2 linked regions of the Callithrix jacchus genome follow. The protein of the gene in region 2 interacts with the protein of the main gene of each other region in a pairwise test. Links are inferred from orthologs where the notes say so. Each region holds a gene or a part of one and is shown on either strand. Other genes may lie near its edges.

The links.
Region 1: the proteins of AP4B1 (region 2) and TEPSIN interact in binary tests that used the Homo sapiens proteins (3 or more experiments, as listed by UniProt). The link is inferred for Callithrix jacchus from reciprocal best matches to the Homo sapiens genes AP4B1 and TEPSIN.

What each region holds. Positions count from the first base shown.
Region 1 is NC_133506.1:136,913,260-136,917,637, forward strand, and holds the start of TEPSIN (AP-4 complex accessory subunit tepsin), read right to left. Parts: upstream 2,906-4,378; 5' UTR 2,884-2,905; coding exon 2,836-2,883; intron 1,536-2,835; coding exon 1,343-1,535; intron 1,069-1,342; coding exon 977-1,068; intron 808-976; coding exon 714-807; intron 1-713. Other genes in the region: NDUFAF8 (NADH dehydrogenase [ubiquinone] 1 alpha subcomplex assembly factor 8), read left to right, coding at 3,211-3,294, 3,416-3,646. UniProt on the Homo sapiens protein: Associates with the adapter-like complex 4 (AP-4) and may therefore play a role in vesicular trafficking of proteins at the trans-Golgi network.
Region 2 is NC_133508.1:151,876,480-151,880,284, reverse strand, and holds part of AP4B1 (AP-4 complex subunit beta-1), read left to right. Parts: intron 1-562; coding exon 563-787; intron 788-1,576; coding exon 1,577-1,707; intron 1,708-2,074; coding exon 2,075-2,222; intron 2,223-3,073; coding exon 3,074-3,570; intron 3,571-3,805.

The sequences.
Region 1 (4,378 bases), on a different chromosome or scaffold from region 2:
TTTTCCACAAACAAGCAGTGGCACAAGAGAGACTCAGTCTCCCCCCCCGGAATTCCCTTTGGGGTGGCAGGGGGCAGGGGATCTAAGCACGGTGCGCCCCAAGGCCACCTGGAGCCAAGCCTCCCTCCTCCCCACGGAAGATATCATGCCTAGCCCCCATAAATACTCATTAGGCAGAGGCACACAGCACTGCCCCCCGCCTGGGGGATGACTCTCCCAGACCCACCTGCTGCCTGGACAGACCGGCCTCCCAGCCCTACCCTACCTCTGTCTTGGGCTCTGAGGAGCAGCCCTAGGAGGAGAACCCATGGCTCAGGGAGGACATGTGAATAGGCATGGAGCCTGCTACATGTGGGTGCTGGGACGGGGGGGGGGAAGACCCTGGGGGCACACAGAAACGAACAATGGCACCCAGGTAGCAAGTGCAGGGACAGATGCAGCCGAAGGCCCAGGGATGCATGGCAGGCACACAGGACGCAGCAGAGGGAGGGGCAGGGTGCATGGGGGAGGCCGAGCCAGCCAGCTGGGGTGAGGGTGGGCCGCAGGTGGAGAGGCCAGGGATCCACCAGGATCAGCAAGGTGGGGTGGCGATCAGGACCAGGCCGGGGTGAGGGCTCTAGCTGATGTCTTTCTTCTCAAGCTTGGAGGATTCACCACCCTCCCCCACTGTCCACGGCCCTGGCTCTTCTGGAGAGCATGCATGGCCCCAGTACCTGCAGCTTCCTGGATGAAGGTGGAGTTGCGTTTGAGGATGAGCAGGAAGGAGGAGGACCCGTGGCTGCACAGATAGAGCAGGATCTTCAGCACCTGGGGAGTGGGGCGGTCAGCGGTGCTGGGCAGGCCAGACACCAGGGAAGGGCCAGGGGCGCCCCAAGGGCACAGAGCCACCAGCCATCCTACACCACTCATCTGCTCCTCCAGCCTCAGCACCGTGGGCAGGGGCTCGGGCCTGACCCTTGACCACCCAGGGGCTCACCTTGAGCTTCCCATGGCCAGAGCTGCTGTGCAGGCGGGTCAGGAGGTACTCCACCAGGCACTGGCTGCTGCCCAGAGACTCATGGGAGATTTCTGCAGCACACTCGGGTTAGGGAAGGGAGATGATAAAGGGAAAGGAGACGTGCCTGGAGGCACCTGCTGCAGGCCCTGCCATCAGGAGCGCTGGGGCTTCCAGGCTCTCCTGAGCCATCAGTATCACAGCCTTCAGACCCCACCGGTGCCTGGTTCCAATGATAAAGGAGCTGCAGATCCCTCTAGGGACAGCAGAACCCCCAGTGACCCTTTGCCCCACACCAGGACCCTGCTATCCGCTCTTGCCCCACACAGGGACGTCGAGGAAGGATACTAGCAATCTCTTCAAACAGGTAGCCAGGACATGGGACGTCATCATCCGATGTCCCCTTCAGGAGAATCGGGAGCTGAAAGGGAACAAGAGCCTCTGCAGTGATGAGGCGCCATTTCCCACAGCGGTGAGTCCGCAGCTCCCAAAGGGGATGGAAACGGCCCACTTCTTGCTGTTGACATGGCCGGAGAAAGGACTGGGAAGGGACGAGAATGGTGCTATGGGCCACAGGGAGCCTGCAGCAGGGTCCTCTCTCAACTGTCAGGGACGAACAGCCTCTGAGAAGAGGCAAATCAATGGTGGTTCTCCAGGGAGGGGCTGCGCCACTTGGGATAAGATAGGACACAGCCCCCAGCCTCCTTGCACTTCTCAGCATGTAAGGCTATTTGAAGGTACTTCTATCTACCTACTGACTAGCAAAGCCAAACAAGGCTCAGGCAAGCCCCTTTTCCACGCAGGGGACTATGGATGGCTCCCGCTCCCTAGAGCCTGGATTGGCAGAGTGACAGAGCCCCTTGGCCTGACTGGCTCCCTCGATCCTGAGAACCGAGTGACGCCATGTGTTTTATGTTGCTCGCTTAATGCAGAAGTCCTTTTTTCTTTTATGCTTCCTTACTGGCAGGAAGACGTATGGTTTATGGGGTGAAAATTGGAAACGCTCATTCATGCATTATTCAGCAACAGAACAGAGGAGAGGAGTTCAAGCATATTTAAGAGGACAAGCATGGGACTGACTCGTGAGGGCCGAGATCTAGTGACAACACAAAAAAACGTGGACCTTAAGTGTTTCCCGAGGCTGTGGACACATCACTGACATTCTGCCCATCAAGCCCTAAGGGGAGCTGAGAGGTTTGCAGGTGACGGCTGACGACTGCAGAACGCAGCACAGAACGACTCTGTCCAAACCCTGCACGGAGAGCTTGACCAACCCTGGCATGGCTTCTGGCAGCCCAAGGCCGCGCCCGGGACTACCCAGCCCCCTCTGAGGTCCACCCTAGGAAAGCTCAGGGCTGACAAAAGAAGACAGTTTGCTCTGGACGACACCTGGGGACTGGCCCCGACCTCTCCTTCTTAGAGAGTTTACTAAGAGGGGCTTACAACGGTGCGTCCTTCTCTGTCCCTTCGAGATGTCTGTGTTCTCGGCAACCCAGGGGTGCCTCTCCAGGACCGGAGCCCTCCTCTGAAATGCCACCGTCAGCCCACCGGGCGCCGGCAGCGTGGAGCGGCTCCACGTCCACCGGGTCCGCCGCTCCTTCCTGTCTGTCGGAGGCCACTGAATGCTGGCCGAGGCCTATTCTCTCCCCCAGGGTCTGCCTGTGCCCATCGCCCTCGCGCTCGGCGGGTCCGGCTTGGGAGGCCCGGGGACAGCGCAGCGAAGGGGCCAGGAGCGGCTACCCAGGGCGGGGACGCAAGGTCAACGGCTCCGGCCCGGGGCGAGCGGCGACGGAGAGGACACGTGGGGTCGGAGCCGGGGGCGGGGGGCCGCTCCCACTCACCCGGTGCAGAAAGCTCAGGCGGTCCCGCAGCGGCGGCACTGCCGCCATAATGCAGGTCACTTCCCGGTCCGCCCCGCTTCCGCCAGGCCCGAGCCCTCCAATCACCGCGCGCATCCTACTCCGCTGCCCAGTCCCTCGTAGTGGGACGGGCCCTGAGGTCGGCTTTGTAAATAATTTGAGTCTAGGCCAATCCGAAGTCCCATGGCAGAGACAGACAAGGACAAAAGCCAATTGCAGGGGGCTCAAGGCCAGGAGACGGCAATTAAAAAGCTCAGGAAAGATGATGGGCGGAAGCGCCGACCTATCAAGCTGTTTGACACCGGAAGAGGACGGACCTAATATGGCGGTGTCCAGGGGCTCTGGGAACAGAGGCTCATGTCGGCTAACGGAGCGGTGTGGGGCCGGGTGCGAAGCCGCCTCCGCGCCTTCCCTGAGCGGTTGGCTGCCTGCGGGGCCGAGGTGAGGAGCCCTGGGCAGGCCAGTGCTGCGGGGCAGGAAGGGCCGAGCGGGGCAGTGATGGGGAGGAAGGGCTGTGACGGGGACAGGGGAACCCCACTACCCACGCGCGTCCACTCCGCAGGCCGCGGCGTACGGCAGGTGCGTGCAGGCTTCTACGGCCCCGGGCGGCCGCCTGAGCAAGGACCTCTGCGCGCGGGAGTTCCAGGCCCTGCGGAGCTGCTTCGCCGCCGCGGTAGGTGGGCGCGGGCCCCTCCGAGCCCTTCTCCTTCAAGAGCCGGCGGGCCCCGGCCGTCCTTTGCTTCCCCGTGGTTCAGAGTTTGAGCCGCCGCTGCGTGCTTTAGACCCCGGCTGACCAAACCACCGAGCCACTGACAAGCCCGCGAAATCTCGGCGGTCCCGGGTTTGTGCCTGCATGTTTGTAAAGCGGGACTGGCACCAATCTCAGAAAGGATGGGGGATGGGTGCACGAAGGCGCCTTGTCAAGCGCGTTAAGTTTTCGTGTTGGCACTGCCGCCGAGGGGTGACATACCAGCATCGACCCGATACAGGACTCCCAGCAAGTACCCAGCACCTTCTGGGTCTTCACCTCCCCGGCACTCGCAGCCCCTGTGCAGCTGCGGTGGTGGATTCCTTCAACCTGCCCTGCCGGGCACCCCTGCCACCCTCACAACTGGCACGATGGGCTTCCTGACCGTGGGGCTTTAAGTCATTCTGAGGCTGCTTCGTTAAGTGTCAGCCTCACTGGGTACCACCTCGGGCGCCCCAACTCAGTGTGTCTGGGTGGGCTGTGACGCCAGTGCTGACTCTGTTTACCGGGAGTTGTCAATCCAGAGATTTGGGCCAGAGAAAGGTACTTGAATAAAAGCCCCACAGCCTTCATTCCTGCCTGCTCCCAGCAGCCTTGGATGCAGGGGTGGGTGACTCATCAGAAGTTGCACTTTTGCTGGGTATAGTGGCTTACACCCGTAGTCCTACCATTTTGGGAGGCTGAGGTCACTGAATTGCTTCAGCCTAGAAGTTTGAGACCAGCCTGGGCAACATACAGAGACCCCGTCTCTACCAAAAAAAAAAATTAGCCAGGCAT
Region 2 (3,805 bases):
ATTAGCCAGGCGTGGTGGCAGGCGTCTGTAGTCCCAGCTACTCGGGAGACTGAGGCAGGAGAATCACTTGAACCCTGGAGGCAGAGGTTGCACTGAGCCAAGGTTGCGCCACTGCACTCCAGCCTGGGCAACAGAGCAAGACTCCTTCTCAAAAAAAATAAACAAAAATAAAAAATACTTATCTATCATACTGTAATGAATGGCATTCTTAACTGACTCATTAATAGATTTGTAGTTCTCAGAGGTCTGAGACCACACCTTCTTCAAGATTATGTTCCCAGAGCATAGCCCTGGATATTACATCCAGGCATGTAAAAGTTGAATTTCACCAAAGTGTACTAGGAATTCAATAAGTGTTTGTTGAATGAATAGAAGAATAATGTTTATTGCAGGCCTATGGTATGAAGTATTGTGTGATATAATAGACAAGGTATTCCTGGCTGCTACCATCTAAGAGATCACAATCTAGTTGAGTAACCAGGAGATATATAGGTAAAACTCCCTCCATTGTAAGTTGGAGATTTTGTATTTTACTTCTTTCTAACACGTGTGTTGGTTTCAGGTACATGACTCAGGGCTTGGACATGTCTGGTGTTTTTATGGAAATGGTGAAGGCCAGTGCCACTGTAGATATTGTCCAGAAGAAGTTGGTTTATCTGTACATGTGCACATATGCTCCCCTAAAACCAGATCTGGCTCTCCTGGCCATCAATACACTGTGCAAAGATTGCTCAGACCCCAATCCAATGGTGCGAGGGCTGGCGTTACGGAGCATGTGCAGCCTCAGGTGAGTACCCTCTTCTGTGTATGGTCTTCAATGGCTGCCTCAGCAGGGCAGATTTTTAAAGAGCACAATTTATTTGAGCTCCTTAATACTGGGGAAAACACTATTGTATGCTGAACTCAGATTTTCAGCTGTTGCTTTGGCCTGATAACCTGTATCATACAATTTTATTAGAGGGAGTTTTTCATTCTTACCCTCAATAAAATAGTCCTCAGTTTTGGTTAAATATTTCTAAACAATTACATGTGTATCTTTTTTGCTGCCTGTGCAGCAGCATTCAAAATGAAAAGTCAAATTAGAAAAAAAAAAAAGAAAAGTCAAATTAGGTTGGGTATGGTGGCTTATGCCTGTAGTCTCAGCACTTCGGGAGACTCAGGCAGGAAGATTTCTTGAGCCCAGGAATTCGAGACCAGCCTGGGCAAGATGGTGAGACCCTGTATCTACAAAAAATTTAAAAATTAAATGGGCATGGTGACACACACCTGTAGTCTCAGCTACTTGGAAGGCTTAGGCAGGAGGATGGCTTGAGCCCAGGAATTCAAGGCAGCAGTGAGCTATGATCAGGCCACTGTACTCCAGCCTGGGTGACAAAGTGAGACCCCCATCTCTAACAAAAACAAGAAAAAAACAGAAAAGTCAAATTATGGCTTTTTAAACTTGATAGAGATTCTCTGCAATTCTTCATGATCTGATAGAGGCAGCATCTGCTAAACCCTCTGTTAAGTGAACAGGGCTGATATATGTCAAAATTAGTATTTCAGGATCTGGCTAACTCCAGAATGTGTTGCTTAGGATGCCTGGTGTGCAGGAGTATATACAACAGCCTATTCTCAATGGTCTGCGTGATAAGGCTTCATATGTCAGGAGAGTGGCAGTCCTTGGATGTGCCAAGATGCATAATCTTCATGGAGACTCTGAAGTGGGTAGGTTCCGTGTAATCCATCATGGCCAATGTGCCTCTCTTACGTATAACTTTATAAAAGAATATGTGGCTTTGGTTGAAAATAATAATGTGGCCCTAGTTCTGTATATATCTCTTTAAGTGTGATGCAGGGCTTGGTATCTTCTGGGGCTCTGGTGAGATCTGATATTAGCTGCTTAGAACAGTCTGGACATGGCAGTTTTTTTGCCTTATACTTTAGTATGGCTTTTGTCATTTTTGTAGCAGAGAAGTTCAATTTTGTCTGCCTGGAGCTATTACTCTGGCTCTATCCCTGTTACTCTGAAGCTTTTCTTCTTTATCTGAAGAAGAAAATACACTGTGTTCTTTATCTTTGTTCTTTTTTATAGATGGTGCCCTTGTTAATGAATTATACAGTTTGCTGCGTGACCAGGATCCAATTGTGGTTGTGAACTGCTTGAGGTCTCTAGAGGAAATTCTGAAACAGGAAGGAGGCATTGTCATCAATAAGCCCATTGCCCACCATCTCTTAAATCGGTTTGGATGCCTCAGTGCTCTTTTTATTATGAGATCTGCGTCCTTGTGGGATCTTGTTAATTTACTGAAGTATTGAACAACTTATGTGTGGTAGAAAAGAAAGTTAACTATTATTAACTCCCTTGCATTTCACTGAGAGAACTTTTATTTGCCTTAGTTTCCCTTATTGATACAGGGAAATAGAAATATCCTGTGGGAATAGGTTCTACTCTTCTCTAGTCATTATATCCCTCAAACTAAGCCATTTATAGCATCTTAAAATGTAGAGAACCTGGACCTAGTATATGTAGTGTATGCTGATCATGTCTTTGGTCTTAGATGAGTGTGCATGTGTACTCATCTTGGAATTTTAAGCCTATTCTGTGGAAACTTTAAATAGTACATGAAAAGAATGATTTGATTATGGTACAGCCTATTTTTTTTGTTTGTTTGTTTGTTTGTTTTTTGAGATAGAGTCTTGCTCTGTAGCCCAGGCTGGAGTGCAATGGCATGATCTCAGCTCACTCAACCTCCGCCTCCTGGGTTCAAGCGATTCTCCTGCCTCAGCCTCCCAAGTAGCTGGGACTATAGGTACCTGCTACTACACCCAGCTAATTTTTCTGTTTTTAGTAGAGACCAGGTTTCACCATGTTGGTCAGGCTGGTCTCGAATTCCTGACCTTAGGTGATCCGCGTGCCTCAGTCTCCTGAAGTGCTGGGATTACAGGCATGAGCCACTGCGCCCGGCCCTCACAGCCTATTTTTAAGAATTCTCCCTTTGTTATGGTGAACAACCAACTGCTCATATGGCATTGGCATGGAGATGGTCCTAGTTTTGTTGCTAAAATAGCTCTTGTTTCATTTTTTTGATAGAATGTCAAAATTGGACCAATGGGGCCAGGCTGAAGTGTTGAACTTCCTGCTACGCTACCAACCCCGCAGTGAGGAAGAACTATTTGACATTCTCAATCTGTTGGACAGTTTTCTCAAGAGTGGAAGCCCAGGTGTGGTGATGGGAGCCACCAAACTTTTTCTGATCTTGGCAAAAAAGTTTCCCCACGTCCAAACTGATGTGCTTGTGCGGGTCAAGGGGCCTTTGCTAGCTGCCTGTTCTTCAGAGAGCCGTGAGCTCTGTTTTGTTGCTCTTTGTCATGTACGCCAGATCTTGCATAGTTTGCCAGGTCACTTTAGCAGCCACTACAAAAAGTTTTTTTGCTCCTACTCGGAGCCCCACTACATCAAACTACAGAAAGTGGAGGTGCTGTGTGAGCTGGTGAACGATGAAAATGTGCAGCAGGTGCTAGAGGAGCTCCGAGGGTATTGCACGGATGTGTCTGCTGACTTTGCACAGGCTGCCATCTTTGCCATAGGTAGGTGTCTGCTGCTTTTCCTTCTAGAGAACCGGGACCAGTCAGCTAGAAAGCTGTGGTTAGAGGAACCATAGAGGGCAAAGGGCATAAATCTTGCTTCAGAAGCAAAATGCTATGCACTAAATAATTGGATCAGTAACTGCAAACAGGGGAAAGAGATTTTTTTTTTTTTTGGTCAAGACTGCTGTTGCCGTATCTTTCAGGATGGCGAATACAGGTAACTCAAACTACAACA